Linked DNA regions of Drosophila melanogaster. The protein of the gene in region 2 interacts with the protein of the main gene of each other region in a pairwise test. Each region holds a gene or a part of one and is shown on either strand. Other genes may lie near its edges.

Region 1 (5,149 bases), 870 kb from region 2:
GAAACTAATTAATAAATGGTTTCATTCTGTATACCTAACTTCGATAACATTCCAAACAAAATTGTAAAATTAAATACTTATTAAATACTTTAATTTCATCAAAAAGAACATATTAAAAGCTGTGATTTTATAGATTATTTTTCCCAAAAGGAACCCTAAAATCCCTTGGGAACAAAAATTTTTAGGCCTAACTACCTTCCTATGAAACACATATCCTTATCCTAACAACCATCATATTAGACTGCCACTCACTAAGCAGCTCTAACAATCATCCTATGAAAGATTTGCAAATGAGATTTCGCCGGAAAACATTCCCAATCGCATAATTTGTCAAGCCTGTCGACTTAGCGGCCCTCTGAGCAACTCAATTTTTGCACATTTTATGCCAAAAAATAAACGAGTGAAGCCATTGAGATGTGTGAAAAATTAAATCTGACAAATTTCCGGTTCGCTATTTACTGATTTTTGGACGAATGTATAAATTCTGGATATTATTTTCCGGTTGAGGGGATTAGAAGCAAGAATTGATCTAATGAGAAAATTCAAACTATTTTCTCTAGCTCTTGGGCATAGGTGAGATTATGCGTGGCGATGTCCTTGGCAGGAACCTTCTCCATAGGTCTGGTATGAAGTCCAGCATAGTCGTAGTTCCCCTCCTCGTCCAGACACCACTGGCGCTTAGTGGCCAGCTCGAAAAGCTCCTTGGAACCGGGACGAAGGCCTAAACGCTGAGCAGCTAGTTTGGGCGCCATCTTCAGATAGGATTTCTCCATGCAGGATGCGATCTCCTCACGCGCCGTGTTCACCAGGATGTCCATAAAATTCGAATAGATCTCCGAGGGCATAGATTTCTTGGCTTGCAGTATCTTGTTGTATCTGCCCTCCATGTAGTAGTTCTCCAAAGCCAAAACGGGTTGGATGAAGCTATCATGGAGCAGCAAAGCCGTCGGCAAACGTTCCAGTTCGATGTGGAAGTCGGCAAGGCGATTGGTAGCCAACATATAGAGCAGATTTAGGCCCATGAACTTGTACATGTGCTTCGATGATTCCAAGTACTTATCGTAATCATAGTAGTAGGTATTTAACTGGGCCATATATCTCTCGAAGGCAGCATAATCCTTGATGGTGATGCTATGTTCCACGGCGATTTCCAGCATCTCCCGCGATTTGATTAGCTGATCCTTTTGCTTGGAACTCGATGCAGTTTGGATTGTTCCAAAGTTTGACCTCACCAGCTCCAGTTTGAAGCCATCCAGGAGGCGGGAGCAGTGGGTGAGGTTGGGCGCATGTTTGCTCCACTCGTTCTTCAATTCGGTGTACAGATTCGACATGATTACAGCAAAGTCTCGACAACGACTAAATTTTTGGGAATGAAAATTTTGTTCGTTTTGATTGACAGCACAAATTTGGAACGAAATATCGACACTAGCGTTTGGTATTTTTAGGGATATTCCAGGGCTGCTATATATTTATTATATTCATTTAATTGGTTCGTAATTTAAAATTATTTAGTATTTTTTAGTAAAGCCATCTTGGGCCAACTTAGCTGCTAGATGTGAACCCACTTTGCATAAATAAATCATTGCTTTCTATTATGGTTTATCTATCCCAAAAACGTCGTTTTTCATTTTGATTAAAATTTATTTACTTTAACATACTTATGACTGAAAACAGACTAAAATCTACTGTACAATTACATTATTCTTATGGTTTAATAGGTGATTGATTCTACGCCTCAACCTTCAATTCGTGGACTTTGACTTGGGGAGACACTGGAGATGCTTGCGGACTTCCATTGGAGTTGGTGGACAGATTGAAGGTGGGACTTTCGGAGCCGCCCTTTTTCTGCTTGACTCGGCGATTCTGGAACCAGATCTTCACCTGCTTCTCGGAAAGGCGCAATCTATTGGCGATTTCGATGCGACGTAGGCGGGATAGGTAGGCGTTGTGCGAGAATTCTCGCTCGAGCTCCAGCAACTGGGTGCTGGTGAAGGCAGTGCGGATCCTTTTGCTGGAATCGGCATAATCGTTGATCAGCGGCGTGATCTCGACGGGACCTCCCGAAGAGTGGTTCTTCAGTGGTGAGCTATTCGGAGAGCAGGAGGACTCGTGCTTGAAACGCTTTCCTTGAGGTTCATCAAAGTTATTGGTATAATCCAAAGAGGCGGACGATGAAGCGGACGGTGATGTGCAGAAGCTTCCAGGTTCCGGTAAGGGTAATCCGCCCACAACTGGAGATCCGTAGAGGTTGTGTATTGGCGGCAATTGCTGGGAGTTGGGATTGGCCGAGAGCGGTGGCGATGGATAACATCCTTCGTAGTTGCTGAATCCACTGGACTTCCTCTTGCTGGCGAACAGCTGGGCGTATGGATGGTAAAGGGAACCGGGACTCGAACTGACATGTGGATGTTGCTGCAAGGCAGCTGCTGCTGCTGCGGCCGCTGCTGCAGCTGCTGCGTGCTGTTGCTGCTGCTGCTGTTGTTGCTGCTGCTGCTGGATGCCCAAGGAGAAGAGATAGCTGCCCACATAGCTGGCCGGGTAAGGAAGCATGGGTATCGATGGTAACATGGCAGCTGCGGCCACTGCAGCAGCGGCTGTAGGACTTCCTCCTGGCGATCCCAGTTTCTCCTTCTTCTGGCTCAAATTGGGCCTATCGCTGAGTAGGGAATCCATCAAAAATGAACGCGACATCTTGGGTTTCTGGGGTATTTCGTTTTCCAACTGATCTCGAGATGAGCTACTGAACACGATCGCTGACTGTGCGAAACTGTCTGGCTGCTGCGCCCTCACCCGGTTCTTATATACCTCGAGACTCTGTTCTGGGGGTTGGTTTGCCACTTCCACACCCCTGAGGGCCAATTCGAGGGTTGTTTGAGCGAGTGTGTTCGGCCATTTAGTCACCATTTAGCAACAACTGTTGCCATTTACGCTCCGCCCTTGTTCGATCACTCACAATGCCGCAAATGGCAGGTAAGCGATGATTCACTGTATCTGTGCGAAAGGACAATGGCGAACCCTCCTTTGCCATCCTGCCATACATATGTATGTGTGTGTGTGTGGGCTTGGGTGTGTGCGATGGGACTGTATTGGTGTCCCTGTGGAACGAATCAGTCTTTCCAATTCGTATTATCACTCGAGTTTAATTGAAAGTTGAAGAGAGTGCGTAAAAGCTTTTTAAACGGAACTGAATTAGTTCAGCCTAAGCTAGATCAAATTACATTATTGGTATTTCGAACTTTCAATAAAATCATCAAGCAGCTTATTTTATAGACAGTGTTAAAAATGTATTTAATTAAAAATACAAATTTTAATTAATAGTTTTATTAGAAAATCCATATATATTGCTTGCATATATATTTTTTTTTAATTTGCCTAGTAACTTATGTTTGAAAAATAAACAAATGCAACTTCATAAAACTTTAAGTTATGAAGAAGCATCAAAAAAGTCATTATAAGCAATATTATCATATGAGCAGATATTGTATTTATAAGCAGTTCGTTCATTTTCAGGCTTTTACATATTGGCTTTTTTTCATCATTGTTAGGTTTTAACGAATTATTTATATTTTTATGGTAAACAAATCAAATTATATTAAAGTGTTTGTTGTGTAGAAAAAGACAAATAGCATCCATAGCATTCTTGCAAAAATTATTAATATTATAACCATCTGTTTTTACTTACAAGCAAGCGCAATTGTAATTCTTTTTATAGGAAGATCTTTTAAATAGCCAACGAAATTTACACAGTATCTTGTTTGTAATTTATTGCATTACAAGAAAACCTCTTCAGTGACCCTTCACAATCGAATCGATTAATTTTACAACCATTGAAAACTGCAAGCCCTCCAACCGTTTAATGCCAATTTCATGGCAACTTATGGCCCGAAGTGGTGGCTGCCGAAATCTCGAATCGAACCTTTACTTCTACAACTCCCGTTTACCAGACCCTCCAGCACATTGGGTATATGTATATGTATCTCTTCTTTGAGTCCTAGTCCTCGCCTTGGCGTAATTTTATTGATGCATTCTTCTGCTTGTGCAACTACGGCGAACAATGCGGCAAGGATCATCCATTCAGGACGATCCCATTCATGGATGCAGTCGTTTGGTCCTTTGACAAATCCAAGACACGACGCACGTTGCGCCTTTGTTTGTGTGTATTTTGGGCCAGGTCGGGACATTTAAGCCAGACAGTACGTCGCCGAAATGTTGTTCTTGGGCTACATTACACAGAATTATGGCGGCAGTTTTATCATTTGTTAACTGACTTTAGGGATTTACCTATAATTGTCCTTTTCATGGCATTGTGCCGAGGTGCGGCATTGTCGCCCTTCTGCCAGTTGATCGTATGTTAAGTGGCTATAAAACCGATCACAATTGCTGACGTTAATTGTTAATTGTCGACCGACTTCTACGTAGGCGATCCGAATGTTCGCCCACTTTTTAAGGTTTTTAAGTATTTGGCTTCTGCTTAATTGGCGGGCTGTGCAAAAAAAAACAAAAAGGAATCTGGACACTGGTCAATAGCGAAATCGGGAGCAGATGCTGTTGTGTTAATATTTTTGTTGGAATTTCTGCTCTTTGGGCGTTGCGTTGGTCTCGTGCGAGAGCTCCTTTTGACCGCCTTTTAACAATTGTTTGGGCCACTTGAGATTTTCTCCATTGGCCACTTCCGTTTTTTGTCTGCGATTATTGCACGCTCGATTGATTCGGGTTTCCTTTTTATTCACAATTGGATCGTGCTATTGACTTAGACTTCGTCTATGGCTTATAAAGAATACAAATGTTTCGGATTTGGAAATATTCAAATTTTCTTATCTCCAAGATAGCATCGGCTTCGTTCAAGCGAACAATTTCATTTTAATTGTGAACAAAAGTCGCCTAAACGCTGAACAAATGAAAGCATAACGAAATGTTTACTTCCCCTTATTTTTTGATATGGATACAACGCAAAACTAACAGAGTCGGGGAGAACATCAAACCGGATTTGCCCATTAAAGGGGTGTTTCAAAAAAAATTCTGAAAACTGAACCACCACCATAGTGGGTATTCGAAACCCTTATAAATGCGGATTGGGTTAATCATTTATTGACATTAATTGGTTGTGACATTTGCATTTTGACTGATTGTTCTAGTTGCCATTGTTGCT
Region 2 (6,771 bases):
AACCTCATTTGCCTTTTATATTCGTTTTAATTTTTTCATTATCATTGAATCCATTCTGGACATTGTCAAGTCTTACATTTGCGCGATTGTTCCTGAATTTAATTAAAAAAGAATGAATGACAAAAATTATATTTGCGGAATACAACAAATAAAAATGAAACCAGCTCCCCAAATGACAATTGAATGAAAACAACAACAATCAACAATCGAAAACAACAACAATGCAGGAACGAACAATAAAACGCGAGTCTTTCTCTTTCACCGCGGAGAATCGGTGAATTTCGAATGGGTTAAGCGGTGAGGGTGATTTCTGGCGACAGGATAATGGTTAATATTGTATTCGAATAATAGTAATCACGGCACAACTTGACTCATCTCTCACCTGCCATTATGCGATCAAATTAAATTTACATTTATTTAATTTTCAACTGCACTCTGATACTGTATTTATACTGATAGATTTTTATCAGATAAATATCTGATAAATAAAATGTTTTTCAGTTTGCACGGCACCATAACAAAGAAAGAAAATCTATTATTAGCTTAAGTAATTATTAAATTAGACAGAAAACATATTTAGAGTTTATTTATCCAACTACGAGTATTAGAAGTTTATCATGAATTATTTTACAACTTCCACTAATTTGAACAATATTCTTAAGACAATTTTGATTGTCACTATTCCGCAAAAATGAAATTAAAAATGCATCAGCTAGCTTATTTATTTATTGAATTTGATAGCAAAACACATAAAGAGTATATGTGCTAATAATTTAAAACGTTTATCCTTATTTGTTTTACTCTTTACACTTATTTTAACTGGATTCTAAAAGAATATTTATTTATATAAAATAAGGAATTCATCATAAATTGTATCACAAATGTAACAATTATTTATGCCGCATGTGGGTGGGGAGCGATTTTAGGAAACAGGATCCTGCATTCATCCTACACTGTGTGCTATTATCACTCACTTAGTGTCCTCGTCTGCTAAGTGAAATGCTGAAAACTCAGAAAGAAAAATGTGACGCGGACAAAACTTTTTCCATTACACAACGTACAACAGTTTTTGCTTTCATTATTATTTGAGATTCGTTGTTGTTGCCGTTCTACGTTGTCCTTTCTTCCTTTTTTGGGGAAAGCAGACACAACGGAAACGTTGCGAACGCTGAAAGCTTTTTATGCTCTTACGCTATGGGCCAGGTATAAGAGCTTTGTAAATGCAATTGGAAATTGCACTAAGCTTTGGTGCATCGTTGTGTGGGTGCGTGCATGAGCAGGAGAAAGGCAAAGAGAAGGGTGGGATAAAAGCTCAAAGGGGAGAATGGTTTTACTTTTGGGGTTATGGAGTTTTAAAAAATATAATAGAATATTGCAACCTTATTCCTGAAAGAAACATTTTTATTAAAACAACGGCTCTTGGGGTCAAGATGTTGTTTAATGAAGCAATGTTAAACTCTTACAATCTTTGCATCACAAAAGCCATAAATTATGTCTTCGTTTCGAAAGAGAGGTAAATATGTGTGTTAACAAGAATTTGAAAACTTATTATTATTATTTGGGAAACTCTTTTAGTTACGAATGAAAAAAACATTAGTTTGCGGTAGATTTAATTGTCAATTATTCGATTGCCCTTGTCCTTTCAATCAACATTAAAAGGTTTGTTTTCTTTTGCTACTGCTTATTTGGTAAACCAAAAAGAAAAGCTGGCTAAAACATCTTTTCTATAATAAAGCACAGAGGACCGTTCTACATGCATCTGGGTGAAGATTTGCCTCACTTCCACTGGCTCCTTTGTGGGCTTCTTTCTATGGCCAAATAAGTAAATAATTGCAGTAATATCCTTTCTGGAGCGGCCAGGAAGAAGTGGCAAAAAGGGAACGGAAAAGAATGGAGAAGAATGGCGAGCGAAATGAAAGAATGCGAGAATGGAGAGCGGGGCAAGAGAATGGAAAGCGTGTTTCCATGTCCTTTTCACAAACTAAAAAGTCCTTTCACACACACACATAGTACTGACTACAGAGTACACATAGAGAACGGTATATAGCAGAACACAGACACCCACAATGGACAAAAATTCACACCAAAGACCCATTGTGATTGGCCCAACAAACACGCACACACATACGCGGGGAGAGAGTTGTGTTCTCTCCCTCTCTCGTTCTAACTGCATAGGAGATGCGGAAGTGCAACGCCGCCGTGCAAACAATAACGGAAATTGTGTGCCCACTGTGCGAAAATCAATGTGCTCCCGCGCTCGCCCTGGCTCTCTTTCTCTCTCTCGCTCCGTACTTTGAGCTCCCCCTGCCCCACAGGATTGGGGTCGCTAAATCGAATAACACGAAGCACAGCCGAACGAGAGCTGCCTGGCTTTTGGCTCTATTGAGCTCCTCTATTGAACACACCCCTCAATGGGCGAACAACTATAACCGATATAAAGGAGCCAATGGAACAAAGCCAGTGGAACAATGGGCCGCAAAACGAAAGAGAGAAGACGCTATGTGTGAGTGAGAGCGCGACGACGGCGCAGCTCTCTCCCAGGTAAGAAGCCCAGCCTCTATCCCGCTCGCACCCACGTGGCTTACGTAAAGGTAATGGTGCGAGGGTTGCTCGCACTTCGTGCTCAACTCTCTTCCGAGAGAAACGGGATTTGGCTGCAGTCGTGTAGGCCGCACTGGAACACTACTGAAATCAGTCACAAAAAAGCAGTCGATCCGAGCAGAAGCAAAGCAAGAGCAAAGCAGAAGCAAAAGCAAGACAGTAATTGACATAGAGACAAAGAAAAAATCTGAGAAATCACAGTTGAACCACAGACATATTGTGTTCTAGAAAGTGAAGTGTTGATCTTGAAAGAAGCAAAAGTTAAACAAAGTGTTCAAAATAGCTGGAATGGCCACCTTATCGACACACCCCAATTACGGTTTCCATTTGGGTCAGGCCCAAGGCTTGGAGGACTACGCACCGCAAAGTCAGCTCCAGCTGAGTCCCGGCATGGACATGGATATCAAGCGTGTGCTGCACTACTCCCAAAGCCTGGCAGCCATGGGCGGATCGCCCAATGGACCCGCCGGCCAGGGTGTGAACGGATCCTCGGGCATGGGTCACCACATGTCCAGTCACATGACCCCGCACCACATGCACCAGGCGGTCTCCGCCCAACAGACCTTGTCGCCCAACAGTTCCATCGGATCCGCCGGCAGTCTGGGTAGCCAGAGCAGCCTGGGCAGCAATGGCAGTGGTCTCAACTCCAGTTCGGGTCACCAGTCCGCCGGCATGCACAGTTTGGCCACATCGCCGGGACAAGAGGGTCACATCAAGCGTCCAATGAACGCGTTCATGGTCTGGTCCCGCCTGCAGCGTCGTCAGATCGCCAAGGATAACCCCAAGATGCACAACTCTGAGATCTCCAAGCGCCTGGGTGCCGAGTGGAAGTTGCTGGCCGAGTCGGAGAAACGACCATTCATCGATGAGGCCAAGCGCTTGAGGGCCCTGCACATGAAGGAGCACCCGGACTACAAGTACCGGCCACGCCGCAAGCCCAAGAACCCACTGACCGCTGGACCCCAGGGTGGACTGCAGATGCAGGCCGGCGGCATGGGTCAACAGAAGTTGGGAGCTGGACCGGGAGCTGGAGCCGGAGGCTACAATCCATTCCATCAACTACCGCCATACTTTGCACCCTCACACCATCTGGATCAGGGTTATCCAGTGCCGTACTTCGGTGGATTTGACCCACTGGCTCTATCGAAATTGCATCAATCCCAGGCAGCGGCGGCGGCGGCGGTCAACAATCAGGGTCAGCAGCAAGGACAAGCCCCGCCCCAATTGCCGCCCACCTCGCTGAGCAGCTTCTACTCGGGCATTTATTCCGGCATCTCGGCACCTTCGCTGTACGCCGCACACTCCGCCAATGCCGCCGGACTCTACCCATCCTCGTCCACCTCCTCGCCGGGATCTTCGCCCGGAACCATCACGCCAAATGGTATGGATGGTTCCATGGACAGTGCCCTGAGGCGACCGGTTCCGGTGCTCTATTAGAGTCGAGTTTTAGGTTAGAGTACAGAGTAGAGTACAATTGTTGACGCATTCCCAAAGTGATCCACTGGTTTTAAATCTTCAAAAGCTCTAAGTAAGCCAATCCTCCAAACCACTCCGCTTAATTCTAGTACAATCTTCGCGCACTTCAGATCTAGAGAGTAAGGAGGGAACACACAAAACATTCCTAGCCAATACACAAACTATAAATTATAATTTATTTAGCGCACTCACTATACCGCAAAGAAAATTAAAAAAGATAAACCTAATTGTAAATTAATTTTATTTAGTTTTAAGCATCGAGCGAGCGCCTCCTTCTTGTTGTTTTTTTTCGCATCAGCACCTACCTAAAATGTAGCTTATAGTTTTAATTGTCTAACCCTCTCAAATTGTAAATATCCCTGCAACTATTCGTTAAAGTCTCAGTGTAGCCCCAAATGCGAGGAAAGAACGTACATCAATGTATTATTGTATTATTAATTGTATTGTAAAAGTTATCATCTAAGCGAATAATGGTTCATGAAGGCCAACACAAAACAAAGACATTTAAAAGTGAATAAAAACAAAATGATTTGAGAAAACCAAATTTGAAAACCTGTTTATTCTATTTCAAATAATTTACAGCTTGGAAGATGTGAAACTGGCAATTGGTTTTGAAATGAATGATGATGATTCTCTACCAAATGTAATCACATTAAAGACATAGGTAGAGTTGTTGTGACTGGAATCAGACGAAGTTATCATATATATATATATACCGGGAAAAAGCTGAAAAACAAAAAAGATAATTTTAAGCCTTTAATAGAATGCATTTCCCATTTTCTTAGCCAGCATACCACATTTTACAGTTATGTTATAAATTTACTTTAAACATATGCCCAAGCTATATGTGACTTAAATTTTTCAGCTGATTATATTTTATACTCCATAATTGGATTATCATATTTAAATTCGAATTTGTGTCTGTATTTTTCATAACCTTTAAGATTATACAGGGTCGTGCTCTGAGCATGCATCAAAATTATCAACGAAATTAATAACGAATTTGAATATTCATAAGACCATTAACATAATATTCTCAACTGGATTGAGTGAGTCATTCGGATAAAGCTTAAAAACAATCATTTCATCATCACCTAATAATGGGTATGAATTTTTCTGTTTTGTGAGTAGTATTCGTTTAATATCAAAGTCCTATCCCGTTTCTGATCAAATTAACCTTGTCTCTGGGTGTCTTTACTATTATTTCGCTCATTTCTGTGTGAGTTTTTGTTGGTTAGTTTACACCCGCTGGGAAGAGATGAAAAAACTAAATTTGATTTGCCATTATACAACTATTTGCCGTTGTGTATTAATTTCTATTGATTAATGCGCTGTTTATTTTGCGCCTCCAAGACAGAATTCGATAGTTTGAACAAAAGGTCGTCTCTTCGCTCTTTGGATGGGGGTCACATTGTGTTTTTTTTTCGGGATCAACGGGGGGCCTGGGCCCTCTAAGACCTCACTATTCGGAGTGTAACTGAATACCCTGGCGAAAGAAATCAACGCGTGTTTTTCCGTTTTGATTTTTAGCTTCTTTTCGTAATAATAATAAGAATAATTGCGGTCATTAATAAATCCACTTGCATTGTCTTCCCCCGAACTCTGACTCTTCGATTGCCGTTTTCAAGTCTTTGGGAGTCTATTCAATGCCCTCTGCCCCGCTCCCCTTCGTTTTCCACGTTGTATGTCAAATGTGTTAAAATATCAAATATTGATTATTGTTGTTATTATGCGTATTGTTGATATTGGTCTTTTTTCCATGCCTTGTTTCTCCATTCTCCGTTTGCTCTGCAAACAAATATTTACCCAGCATTGACGTGATATTGAATAATTATATAAAAATTGGATTCTTCTGGCTTAGCTCTTTGGAACATTACTTTGTGTGCACAGCGGTAAAGGCTTCCAAAGGGTTCAACAATACATTTGTATTGTAAGGAAAGAGGTTTTTATAGTATTTTGATTGGATAACTATTTTTCAAATCTAGAAACTATTACAGATTTTGTAAATAATAAATATCAATTAAAAGAACGGCATCCGCATTTTAAAAATTGCATTTTAATTTGACATCCTTTAGATAATAGCGGCTCAAGAATTCGCGCTGCTGAAGTAACATATTGTATTTTATTATTCTACTTTATTACATTATATTTCGTAACTACTTTGAATCTTACAAGTTAAATTTTATGCCATTTTTCGCATCATAACATTCTGATCATAAAACTAGTTACAACCATAATCAGCCATTAAAACAATCTATGATCAAATATCGGATGTTGCCTTTGCCGAACCCAAACGGAAGTGATTAACTTTCGCTAAACGCCCAATCCATCCATCCGACTAAGCCAAGCTTAAAACATAAGCCCGCTCACGCCTTCCTGATCCATAGTTTAAACATTTCATCCAAAAAAAATGATGCACGAATAATTGAAATTCCATTTCAACTCGTTGGGTTTTTAAGGATTGTCGAGAACGTTTTACGACCCATCTCGCCTACGCCTCCTACTCCCAAAAGCCACGCCTTTCGTCCCATTTGGTCACGTCTGTATACAAATATAATTTGCAGCCTCCCGGTTGCTTCGATTTTTTTACGACTTTATGACCGGGGATTAGCGTCCGGTCCGCAGAAAGGAGTGTGCGAAATGTCGCGAGATTTTTATGCTTCTAGCGCTGTCTGTTTGGGTTGTTGTTGCTCT
Region 3 (6,386 bases), about 14 Mb from region 2:
CTCGGCGTATCCTGGCATCCTGGCTCATTCTCTTATGCACATCACGTGCCGCAGGACGACGGCAAGTGTGCTCCACCTCCATCTCCGGCTCAAGTTTTGTGTACTTTTTAGCACATATTCCCGACTTGAAGCCTCTGTCGATATCCTGACAGGTACATGGTCATATATGTACGAGGTCTTATATAAGGCAATTACATGGCAAATTCGTGACTCGCACTTTTTTTTTATGAGTTTTGCACTTTCTTCGCGGTCGGGTCATTAAATCTTACTTCGTGTTGGGTTCAAGTGAAACAAACAAGTACGAAGCAAAATATGTTTATATATATTTATTATAGTTATATTTGTCTGATTGCTATCCATGGTAGATGGATCAAATGTTTCGTGTTCTTTTTTGCAGGTTACGTGATTTTTTGACCATATACAATATTTTCATCTCATTTCAGTTCCCCAACTCAAGACTCTTCTGCAATCATTGTTATCACACCCACCATTAAGCCCAGTATAGGCTGGCACATTCACAACATTCTTAACTGGGATAGCATTTTCATTACAGCCAAAGGTCAGTCGGCTGGGGCAAGGCCTCATTTTATTTTATTCGCCGCCGCAGGCCAAAGTATTATAGAAGCAAAGAAACAAAGCAGCAGCTGAGCAGCACGCTCTAGGCACATTTGCCATGTTTAGAATTAAGACCTCAGATACTTGAGAAGCTCCAAAAGCCCAAATAACCGCAGAAAACGGCAACCGGCGGACGGGCAGAACCAATTCCGAAGGCAGCCAAGGCAGCAGTCTCAGGTCTCGAGTCCCCAGTTCGAATCTCCAGTCTCGGGTCCAACTCATGTTACTCACGTTCCAAACGAGCTTTTGTCAACTTGTCTAAATGATTTTTGCACACTGTAAACAAGCCAAGACACCGAGACAGACAGACGGACGGACTCAACGACAGACGGACGCTCCGTTGGACGGACAGTTGGAACGGCGACAACATTCAGTATTGACGTTGACCCTGCACGACTGCGATTCAGAAGTGGAGGCTCCGTTTGCTTGGGGATGTGAGTGTGTGCCAAGGATTCGCAACCTGAAGTCCAAGTCGTGTGTGATGGGCCAGGAAGGTAGAACTGGGGAGTTGGGAGTGGGGGAGGACTGGAGGCCAAACGGGCAGCAGCATTCCCCGTGGGAGTCTTTTGTTATTGTTGTGCTGATCTCTTGGATTTTTCGTTTCGATATTGTCGTGTAATCACGAATTTATTTTATTGAAAATCACTTGACAGGTGGCGCCTTATTTAACTAAGTTGTCAGCCCTTCCTCTTCTAAGTCCTCCGTTTCCGCCATCTGGGGAAATGACTATGAGAATGAGAATGGAAATAATGCAATGGAAATAATCATAAATGTTTTGTGGGAACAGGTCAGGTTGGTGGAATGGGCAGATATGGCAGACATGTTCATTGTTCCTTATACAACGAAGTTTTATGGTTACAATTTATAGTGGACATCAATTGTAATGCAATTGCTGAACGAAGAACTAGATAGAACGAACTTATGAACGTCTTTACTAAAATTGATGACTTAGATATGTCTGAATTATAAAGTATTTTATTTGGCGCAAGCCATTATTCAATATACTTTCTCAATATTCCTGACCTATCCTTCAAATTCCCATTTCAAATCCTAAATTTTCCTTTATGTGCTTCAGTCGATTCAGAAATGGGCCTCCCCATAATGGGAGCAAATGACTCCCCCAGTAGACCGTCTTATCTCGCCCTCAACAACATCACACACCATCCACAACACAGAACACAATATCACCGCTGGCGTGTTGAGAGTTGCTCCACCGAATTCTCCAGAGAATGCCCCGAGCGAGGAAGAGAACTCAGGTGTTCACGACTCTCTAGAGAGAGGGAGAGACCCCGAGACCGAGGCGGAGGCAAAACAAGAACATGATATATACAACAATATGATGTGTGGATGCTGTATGCTGGAGAGGACCACACCACATTAGTGAGTGGGTCTGTATCTGTGTGGCGGCGACTCTCCCATACGAAAACCTGCTCCACCACCATTTGCAGCTTGCAATGCGCCGCTCCAAGTTTCGCAGATGCAGCGCAGATGAGATGACGATGATGACGATGCTCTTGAGTTCGGACCAACAACATCCAGCCATCCAACCATCCAACCACCTCCAACCAGCCAGCCAACCGACCAACCGACCAAACGACCGAGGCGACCGACCATGTTTCCTGATGCGAGGCGAGGCGATAGTTTATCGCCAATTTTCGTGCCGTGCAGAGGTGAACGCGGACCAAAAACGTGCGAAAGGAAAAGCACTGCCCAGATGCGAGAGAGCCCAGCTCCGGCTCCCTATCGTACCCGTAGTATCTCGCCTCCGTGTAACCCGAATCCGTACACCCAACGGCTAGCGACACCCCTAATTCAAGGTTGACGTTGTGACTTGGTCGTCCTTCCTCGACGTTCAGCCACCGTTCACTTGTTTTTTGTTTGCATCAGCTCTTTTTTGGCTGCCGTCGGTTCTTTTTGGTAGGGACAAGGATGATTTTGAGGGGCTGAGCTAAGCTGAGCCGAGCCACCTCCCGAAAACTCCCCCCTAAAACGGCCATGCGCGTTAACGGTAAATAATGGCCGCCATCTTGGCCCAAACGGAATGTGCAAATATGTCTATATAATCCGCAAGTGTTTGTGTCTCTGTGAGAGTGCGTGTGACCACATCAAATCAAAGATAAATAGCTGAAAAGCTATCGCCGAAAATAAATAGTCTCGCATCAGGGTGGGTCAAGTTCCATAGTAGGACGAATGAGAGATCAATCGCAGGGGCGGAAAGAATTCTATCGGCATAACTTTAATCCAATTGATTTGTTTAAAATTTAATTAAAAAAAAAAAAAAAAAAAAAAAAACTATTAAAAGTCACAAGAATTAACAGAACAGAATTTTGTTCCAATTATCTTATTACATTTTTAGAACGATACTTTATTGGCCAGACCATACTGCCATCATATAGATATATTAATGCAAAGCTTTCTTTCCACACCTACGATTCCGTGTCTATGAAAACCGGACTCACCCTAATAAACCTGCGTGTAGTCATAATATATAGATAGAGAGGAACTCCTAGAAATGGAGCATCACGGCAGTGGGTTCGTGGCTTCGCCATGGGCCGCCGTTCTGGGACACCACTCGATGGCCTCCGATGCCGGGTTCGCCGCTGCGGCTGCTGCGGCGCATGTCCAGAACCACTCGATGCACCATCCTATACACTCGCATCACCACCACCACTCGCACTCGCATCCACACCCACATCCGCACTCGCATCCGCACCACCATCCGCACCTGGGAACCGCCGGAGGGATGCCGATGGATCTGCATGTGCCGCAGGGATTCCCCTACTACAGGTAAATTAAACGAAACCAGAACCACTTCACACTGCACCAATATTTCCCTTCCATTCGCACACTCTATTGGTTTCTCTTTCGCTGGAGTTTGCATGCAAATTTTGGGGGCGTTGCCAATGGCGGAAAAGTGTCCACCTGATATCCAATGGGCTGAGATGCGGAGATGCTGAGACAATTGATGGAACTGCCCACTAACAGGGAGAAATTATTCCACTTCCTTTTTGGGGTGGAAGTTAGGCGATTGCTCGCTCATAACTGAGGTTCTAGGTAAAAAAAAATTGTGACTTAAAGGAACTGACAAGGTACACCTCCTTAATCAGTTTTTATTCGTATGTGAAAATATGTCTCACAATCCTGAAATATCCATTTTTGACCCCAGCATGTCTGACACCTTGTCACCTCATACCCACCACGAAGTGTGCCCCCCCCCCAAAAGTAGCTTTCGCCAAAAAAAAAAATTAAATGTCCGAAAATTAAAATTTTTCAGTTATGAAGTGCAGGCAGAGCACTACAGAGGTGCCAACATCGATGAAACTCATAATTAAACTAATTGAATTTACGTGACAATAACACTTTCGACACTCACTCGCCAGGCCACCGAAAAGCGAGCGATGAACGCCTCACGAAGTCGGGCGATTGTCACGAGATAAGTTGGGCAGCTCCCTCCATCTTTCACTTTTCCCACTCCCAGTACATAAGCCTCCTCCGTAATGCATGGTTATTTTCAATATCGAAAAATGAAATCGGCATCAAAGAACATTTCGCCGCAATAGCCATGAAGCAGAAGTGGCAATCCGGGCTCTGTCTTAAGCCGAGACCTCTTTTAGACATTCCCACAACAATATTGCAATGGCGATGTAATTCATGAACTCTGATTGGTGGCCCCGCCGAAAGAGTCGAGTTTGTAGTTAAGATTGAGGATTGAGGCTCGAGGAGTTCCAGATGCGGGCACAGCAGCTTTGACTACCAGTGTCTGGGGTTTTGGGACTTGGGATGGCTAGAGATGGGCCACAGGGCCTTTTGAATTGATAGTCCGGAGCGAAAGATTTAATAAATATGCTACGTTAGAAGGATATGGAGACATTCGAGAAAACCAGAATAGCTTAAATATTAAAAGTATTGTAGTATAGTATTGTATAGCTGTGCCAAGGGTCGTGAGTCTCGTGACTCACTTTCTTGCCTATCGGTAAGCTGCTCACGCACATCTCTAAGGCACACATAGGCCTTCATGTTCCGAACTTAAGCTTCAACTGGGACTGCAACTTTAACTCCGACTCTGAACTCCCGACTCCGCCACTCCAACTTCTCGGCTCACACAATCAGCGTCTATCAGCATTTTTCAATTATATCGGAATAGCGTTATCCGTGGCTGGATCGCGTCAGAACGCATAATTACTATAATCACCTGAGTTATTACCTTGGCGAATATTGACGAAGACGCGAAGAGAGGGCCGCGAAGTAATATTAAAAGCACAACCAGCGCGGCGGGAAAAGGGTTCCCTGCTGAAATCTAAACTGTGATTGTTTCCCCTCGCCAACCTGCGATGGGCTGCCTCTGATGACTCTGCCTCAATTTCATTTTGGTCTTTTTCCCATTATTTTCATTTTATTTTTCACTTTTTTATTTTTGCTTATGCCTCAATTCGTTAAAGTTACATTACACTGGGAAAAATGGATGGCCACGGGGGAGGGGCCACGATAACTAAAAACGAGTGAGACAAAAAGAGTTTTGACCTAACTGGAAAATTGCTGGGACGTTTGTTTTTCATTACAGCCGACAACTTTGTTGCTTTGTATATTGGAAGGGGAATTTCCAGGGGGAATTTCCAGCGCCTTCACGGGCGGCAAAGGGGGATGAAAAACCCCAATACGGGCCAGGAGCACGAACCGCATTTTCATTGCACAAAGCGATCTCCACACACAATTTTCCATGGTCAGCAAAGAGGATTCGAGCTCTTTGCGGTTTTCGAGGCCAAGTCCCCCTTTCAGCCATCGCCCCTCGATAGCCCCCTCCGTATGGCTAAGACCCCATCCCAGACAACGGTAACACCGCAAAATGTGCAGTGAAAAACCATCATTTCAACAATTTATATTTCGAACGTGATTGGTGGACTTGGATACCCAGATAGCTCCCAGGGAGGGGATTTAGGGGGTACCAGGGTTAGTAGCACTGCAAGACGGCCATTAAGAAATTGCTGTAAAGCATAAAGAGCAAAATGAAACCGAACAAAGAGCCAGGCAACAAAAAAGCAACAAAGCACAGTGCGAGAAAATGAAATAAAATGCAGCAGATTATGATTGCGATTATGTTGGCTCCGTCCGGGGATTTGGCGGGGATATGGCGGGACAGACATATAAACTTGATGATGGGAATGAACATATGAGAAATGGCGAACAGACATTAAAAGCGGGAGATCCAAGTGGCAACCTCAGCAAATGGATTTGGGAAACAAACGAAACAAGAAGGGGGATATAAGTATTATAGTATTGCTATATTGCTAATAAGATTTTGGTTAAATTCTGGAGTTACACCAAGAAACTTTAAGCCATTTTTATCAGAACGTTAAGACCAACAAAATACTTTCCCAAAAATTCCAATTAGAACGCGTCTTTATCAAAGCATCTGCCTACAAAGAAAGGCCGCAGATTCCAGTTCAATCAGTAGTTTCCATCAGAATATATATATTCCCTCCAATAAGGAGATGAAAATCCAGGGATTCGCAAAGGTGTTGCCCAGGCCCCACCCAAAATGCATTACTGGCTACACTTGTTCGGTGGCTCAGTGGTTCGGAGGTTCCCAGGCGTCATCCTCGGTCCTCTCCTGCTGTCCAACGTCACATTCAATTAAATTATGCAAATGAGGCGCAACACTTGAGCAGGACGAACTGCTCGAACCGAAATTGACTTTCAGCCGGCGGGTTCTGCCCCTCGCCAGTCAATCCCCTTCAATTTCTCCCAACACTCCACCCACTCGCACCGCTGAA
Region 4 (6,609 bases), on a different chromosome or scaffold from region 2:
GTTTGGGAGCCATAAAATAGCGCCACTTCTCGAAATCGCACTTAGCCGGCTAAAAAACACGACTCGACTCGGCCCGGCTTGGCTAGTTAGTTAGTTGGTCTAACTTTGATTTTTTCACCTCGCCTTTTACAGTTGTAACACATAAATATTAAAAAGCAGCAGCCCTAACTGTTCATCGTGTATGCAGATCAAGATGACGCAGTAGTCTCATTCAGGGCTAAAGTTTCTGCATTCTGAGTAAGCTATTAGCTGAACCTATTTGAGTTTTTATTAGAATGGAAGTTAAGACTTTACAGAAATATATTCTAGTAACCTATTTAACCACTTGTCTTACTTATATTAAAGTTTTAACTGGATGCAAAGTGTGTTTATACTTTCAAAAATTTAATTTTGATTTAAATTAAATTCACGCCTAAATCCATTACTAATTTTCCCATCGAACATAAGAAAGCTGGCAAACATTTTCCAAAATCTGCGTGTTAACCGCAAAACTGGCATAAAAACCTATCCATGTTCCCAAATCATTAGGACGCGTACTAATAGGGCATAATTTTGTTATCTATCATCGTAATTTAGTTTCGGTCCTCCATTTGCTACCTGGCCAAAATTGCGATAGTGTTAATACGAAACTGTAAACATTGCAGTGGCAACACAGATACACAGGACGCAGATACGTAGATTTACATCTGGCCCGAAGCGAACATTTTAGTTGGTCCGGCGAGAAAGAGGAGCGAAACGAAATGAAAACCGCACAAAGCGATTAATTAATTAAAATTGGCAAACATGAATTTATCGCGCAAGCAATTTGCACAATTTGCGCAAATCAGTTTGCCTGTTTTTGGGAGCGAACGACGCGATTTCTCCCGCAAAATATATGGACCTGGCCGGAATGGCCAGCCGAATGGCCAGAAACGGACTTTCATGGCCGAGCACTTGCATCCAGATTCGCCGTCAGTTGCATGTGCATTCAGCAATGTGCATAATTATTGAAATTTGGAAATTGTGCGGTTTTTAGCAGGACATAGGCTTTGGCCTTTGGGCCTCGAGTTGGCAAACTACGATGCAGATCGCTCCGATTCGGTTTGGTTTGAAATGGAATGGAATGGCATGGCATGGCATGGCATGGCATGGAATCTGGGCTGCTCCAACAACTAACCGCAACTGGGAACAGAATCCGCAGCAACCGCAAAACATTTCAATGCAAAGCGGATATGGCAGTGGGGGGTTAAGCGGTGTTCAGCGGGGTTAAGCACACATATTTCACTAGCCTAGGCCACCGCAAAAATGCCGAACGCACAAAGCGAAGCACGCGCAGATATTTCGTGGATGCAACGGACGGGTGGGGGTAAACCTGAAGGGGGTCTGTGCAAATTACAAATGCAATCATGAAATTAATTTAATTAATGCGAGGCTCACGAAAAAAGCGCCCAAACGAAACGCCATTCGAGCTCCTTTCGCTGCATGCAAATTAAGCATTAGTAGGGGAGAGACAATACGAATCCGGGGAAAGTTCTGCCATTTCTTTTGCATGCAAATTGCTCTTAATTGTAAAGGGGTGGTTAGGGGGGCATCCACTTTTGCCCCTCTCGGCCACGCACCCAGTATGCAAATGTTTTTTGGCCTCTCTGTTGTGCGAAACTCGGAAAAAGGCTCACGAAATTTATTATGGCAGACTCCAGCACTGCGGGCAGGATTTGTCCAAAGGATTCCGCACTGCGATTCATTGAAATTTATAGTTCTTCGTGGGCAAATGGAGCTGGCTAAAGTTGAAGCCGGCGAAAACTTTAAAAGCCAACTTTGGCAGTCGCAATCCATGGCAGATAGCAAACCGTCAGATCAGTTTCGCTTGCTAGCCCTTAATTAAACACCCATCTTCAATGGCAACTATGGACATTACGCATACGCCGCGTGCACCGAGCGGCGACAATTGGCGCGTGAAAAATGGCAATAAATTAATAAAAGTAATTAATGGCAACGCTTCGAAGGACGCAAGGATGCTGGCAATAAAAATTGAATATAAACGCGAGCCATAACTCATCCATGGCTGCTGCAGTTGCAGTTGCAAATGCACTTGCAAACTGTATTTTCTGGTAGTGTTGGACGGCTAACAACAAATTGATTGCCAAAATTGAAAGTGCTTGAATCGTTGATCAACAGTGTGGTAAAAATAATTTATTCACCTGCACACACGCACATACATATGTACATATGTGTATTCGGAATTATTAATATATTAATATGAGGACACAAGTACAGTTTGATAATTATGTGCGTGCGCCGGGTGAATGTGTGAATGTAATTCACAATTTGCGGCATATTTAAAAGAGCAATTATATCAATTAACACAAACACACCCACCCACACTCGATTCGGAATGGGCATAGGCATATGGGAATGGGAATCGGAGAAGGTTTGCCGAGTTAGTTAAATACACAACTTAATTATTGCTAAATGCACGCGACACCTGGCGCCATCTGGTTAGACGTCTCAATTATAGGCCATTTAGCAGACATGGGAGATGCGATGGCAATCGCCAGATCGGAAGTACGACTAACTACCCCTCCGATCTTTTGTGGGTGTGCTCAAGAAATTAGTTTAATTATGGCCAGGCGGATCGTATGCCATGGATTAATACACACATTATTATACATTAGCGCAATTCACTTGGCGATCTTAATTGCAACATTATACGCAGCTCCCGCCCGCAGCCCGCACTTAAAACGCTATCGAGGATTGGGGGCGTAACTTACCCAGCACATTGGCCCCAAGATTGTTCAGCATGTTTGCCGAGAAATTGCGGATCGACAGAGTCGACAGTTTGTCGCTGTTTCTGATTGCTGCTCCGAAAGTTAGGATTCGGGATCCAATTTGATTGAATCGGGAATCGATATCGACTGGTGGTGGCGGAATCCCAATGGGAGTTCCTGCTCGTATACTCGTCTATCACAGAACGTTGGAGTTGAAGTTCACCTGCGGTGCAAATTACATCTCAATTGTTCGGTGGAAATGGGTGTGGCTGCAAGTAAACAGATTTGTTATTTTTGGATGGGTGGCTTCTGCTCAACGCAAATATAAACATACATAGGTGACTTTGTGCTTTTTTGGAAGTACTTGTTAATTTTCAATACTAAAAGTTTTTAAATTGACAAGAGAAAATGGTCATTAACTTGTTTAGCAAAGTTTTTGTTTATGTTTATAGTATACAATCATATGCAATAAAACTGCTTACAATGTATCAAGATTTCTGGAATCATAAATGAATGTTTGATTTTTGTCTTGGCAAAACATTTAAGTATACTAATTGCTCGTGTGTTGTGAATATTTGGCCCAGCCCTCTCTTGAACTTTGACCCCTGTCAAATGTCCAGCTATTTGGGTAATTTAACTATTGTGCGACTAACCAGAAAACTAAATCCGTTTCACTTTCCTTAACCGCAGAAACTTCTGCCGAAGTTCGATTGTGTGGGCATTTGCATTGAGTTTTATTGCTCATTTGGCCAAGGACTCACCTGGCTCCTCCTATCGCTCGTCCTTTTTCCGCCTCCTTGCTTTTTGTGTATGCCACAGGGTTATGGGCTGGGGTCAGAGTTCAGGCCAGCAGACGATCAAATTGCCATAGTAAAATTAATTAAATGCCTTGACCATAAAAAAGCCAAAGAAATTAAATCCAAGTCACTTGGCCGGAAGTTGAAAAGTTTCCTTAGCTCCCACACACACACACACACACGCGCACAGCTGGCACACACACACAATCGCACTCACAGACACGCAGACATGCACAGCTTAGGGACACGCAATGAAACGGAAGTCGAATCGTTTATTGATGAACTGTTTGACCAACTGACAGCCGGACACTGTCCGGCGGAGGACACGGCTTGCTTCCACCTTCGGGTGTGGTCACTCGTCCTTGTTTTCTACTGTTTAATTGATAGCATTTTTACACTTCGGGCACATTTTCACTTAGTTATTCCTTGGCACTTCCCAGTTAGATCAATTCGGTTAATGGTCTCTGCCAGTGCGACGGCTTTCTAGGCACTAGCAAACGGAAACGGATCGAATTGTTTCGGATCGCACTATTGTATCGTATGGGAGCTGTACGCCGTATACGTAGCGCTGCTCGCTTGCATTTGAGGGCAGTGCGAAAAAATCAAAGCGAATTGACTACGAAACCTGATAACTTCGACAACAACGACTGCGCACTGGCGCCGCATTCAATCGCCACCCCCTCGCACAATTGACGGTTAAGTCAAGCGTTATCTCTGCCAGCGGGCTTATCTCTCGCATTGATTTGCAAAAATCGCAAAGAGCACACACCGTGCCAGTGCCCCGGGCGGGCGAGGAAAGGAGACAGCTAGCTGAGCCCACAGCCATCTTGCCGTCGAGCCAAGCATGCTGACTCGTTCGCGCTTGCCCTGCCAAGTGGTTGCTAGAGCGGGTCGGCTATACTCGCTGTGCGTAGGCCAGACCACGCCCTCAATGCAGACCAACGAATGAGGGAACTCGGGAGCTTGTGGCCCCGAACGATAGCACTTTTTGGCGCCCTCGGCGATAACAGGTCCTGCCGCCTATCGATAGGCGGGCTATCATCGATGCCGAAACAGACCTCGATTCCCCTCGAAAAACTTCAACTATACTCCACAGCTGGTCGCGTTGGCAACCGGCGCTTGGGCCACAGTTATTGCTGAAAGTCCACTCCTCCCAAAAATGCGCCTTGAATTCTTACTCAGCGTTGTTGATGCCACGTGTCAGCTTTCAGCCTCACCTGTTGTCGTTTATTAGTTTTTGTTTCCGTTTTTTTTTTTTGCCCGTCTTTTTGCTGGAGGGGAAGTACCTCCGACATTTGGCGGAATTTTATAATATTTTGCATGCTGCACAAACGTTGAATTAGCCAGACAACGGAATGCCGGGCGAAATAAGAGTTTGTCATGGCAACCGCAATTCAAAGGATTTCCACCCCACTTCCTGCGCCCAGTTCAAAGTCCTCCCACCGCCCCTCAAAAGTCTGCAAATTATGTTGGCCTTCTCCCTCCGACAAATACATACAGCTAAATCGGGGGCGTTAATTAAAAACTCTAGGTAGCAATTAAAACCACAAGAAGAATGCAAAAAATCGCAGCAGTTGTAGTTTGTTTTGCAATGAGCATAATTCAAGGTTCACACTTGTGCGGGGTGACAAACGTTCTAAAATAATTTAAAAAATTTAATAAGTGGCGTAATAAATTTAGATTGATAATTGTACACAACCTATTAAGTCTTGTATTTCACAAACTTGCATACTAACGTGTGAAATACTTATAACAATCCCACACAAATGTCGAAAACATCGAACAGAAATTTTTCTGTTAGTGTATTATAAAGTAAACAAGCCGAATAAATCGTGATAACATCTCAATTCGTTGTTGGGCTCACTTATTAGAGCATATGCATCACTTTTCATTTTTTTTCCTTTTCTCACATGAGGTACATAAAAAAACTTCGAGTGTGTTAATTAATCAAAGGCGTTATCGGCAGCAAAAAGAAAAATAAATTTATGGGAAATGTGCGGCGTAGACTTGTTGAATTTCGCCATATTAGCCAAGGATTAATCATCTAAGGAGTCTCAATTAGACCGCATTTTGAATGCCTGGCATGAGCATGTCGTAAATCACTTTGGCCAAATCCGGGCAGCAGATAGTGACTGTGACCAGGACAGCTGCGAAATCCTTGAGTTGCCGGGACCGGCATACCAAGAAGCATGGCGGAAAAAAAAAGCGCAGCTCAAATGCAAAGGATTCCGAATCCTTCGGCATGCACGACGTTCTCTTTTGACTTTGTTTGGCAATCGTTTAAGCCCGGAAAGTCGATGATGGAGATTTCAGTGTGGAGGGCTATGTGTGGAGAACCAGAACAAGTACGTGCAGTCAAACAGATTTCCAGTTAGCAGCTCACAACAATTCGCTTTTAAGCCAGCGCATAAATCAACCTCAAAAGATATCCCCAATTTTTCGGGTCAGGGGGATGCGGCGGGCGAAAGCGTTAAATTTCGAGGGGGTAAAAGTTTTTTTTTCTCGCCTCCGCGGCATTTTATTGAAAGGATAATCGATTGCAGCAAAAATGCTGGCAAGGCATTAAAGGATTCGACTTTGGGCAACTTTAAAAACTTAACCCAAGGCGATGTCGACGAACTGAGCGATGTGAAATGCTGCTCTTTGCGGTCAATTTAATTGAATGATGAATTGCGTCGGACACTTGGGAGGTGGGGTTCGGATGCCGCAGAAAATTCTTCAGTTGTCACGGGTACTTGTAGCCGAAGGATGAGATGAGTGGAAAGAGATGGGACACTTGGGGCGGCGTTGGAAGGAGCCAGAGAAGGGGCTACGACAAAGACGAATACGCATAATCAGTCAAAATTTATGACAAGCTCGAACCCGAAAGTCAGCTTAAGCATTTAATTGGCCCAGGTCCAGTTGGCCGTCCCCCCAGGACAGTCCTAATTAGCATGGGCATTCATGTACATGATGGAGTCCATTTTTTGTCGCCTCCCACTACTCCACGCTCCGCTTGCTCCTAGGCTGCCATGTGTTCCCGGAACCCAAAGAGATTTTCACTGTTTCTCGACTCTGACTGATGA

What was found.
Region 1: the proteins of D (region 2) and ind interact in a two-hybrid assay, tested with the Drosophila melanogaster proteins (one study listed by BioGRID).
Region 3: the proteins of D (region 2) and trh interact in a two-hybrid assay, tested with the Drosophila melanogaster proteins (one study listed by BioGRID).
Region 4: the proteins of D (region 2) and otp interact in a two-hybrid assay, tested with the Drosophila melanogaster proteins (2 studies listed by BioGRID).

What each region holds. Positions count from the first base shown.
Region 1 is NT_037436.4:15,041,174-15,046,322, forward strand, and holds ind (intermediate neuroblasts defective), read right to left. Parts: upstream 2,752-5,149; 5' UTR 2,692-2,751; coding exon 1,729-2,691; 3' UTR 1,626-1,728; downstream 1-1,625. Other genes in the region: Rpn12R (regulatory particle non-ATPase 12-related), read right to left, coding at 543-1,331.
Region 2 is NT_037436.4:14,173,457-14,180,227, reverse strand, and holds D (dichaete), read left to right. Parts: upstream 1-1,607; 5' UTR 1,608-1,659; intron 1,660-1,735; 5' UTR 1,736-2,889; coding exon 2,890-4,038; 3' UTR 4,039-4,618; downstream 4,619-6,771. UniProt on the Drosophila melanogaster protein: Essential for segmentation and CNS development. May modulate the actions of other transcription factors, including gap and pair-rule proteins.
Region 3 is NT_037436.4:388,502-394,887, reverse strand, and holds the start of trh (trachealess), read left to right. Parts: upstream 1-2,254; 5' UTR 2,255-2,779; exon of another isoform or gene 2,780-2,882; intron 2,883-3,094; 5' UTR 3,095-3,127; coding exon 3,128-3,402; intron 3,403-6,386. UniProt on the Drosophila melanogaster protein: Transcription factor, master regulator of tracheal cell fates in the embryo, necessary for the development of the salivary gland duct, Malpighian tubules and the posterior spiracles.
Region 4 is NT_033778.4:20,899,278-20,905,886, forward strand, and holds the start of otp (orthopedia), read right to left. Parts: upstream 4,138-6,609; 5' UTR 3,509-4,137; intron 3,017-3,508; 5' UTR 2,782-3,016; coding exon 2,751-2,781; intron 1-2,750. UniProt on the Drosophila melanogaster protein: May be involved in the development of the central nervous system.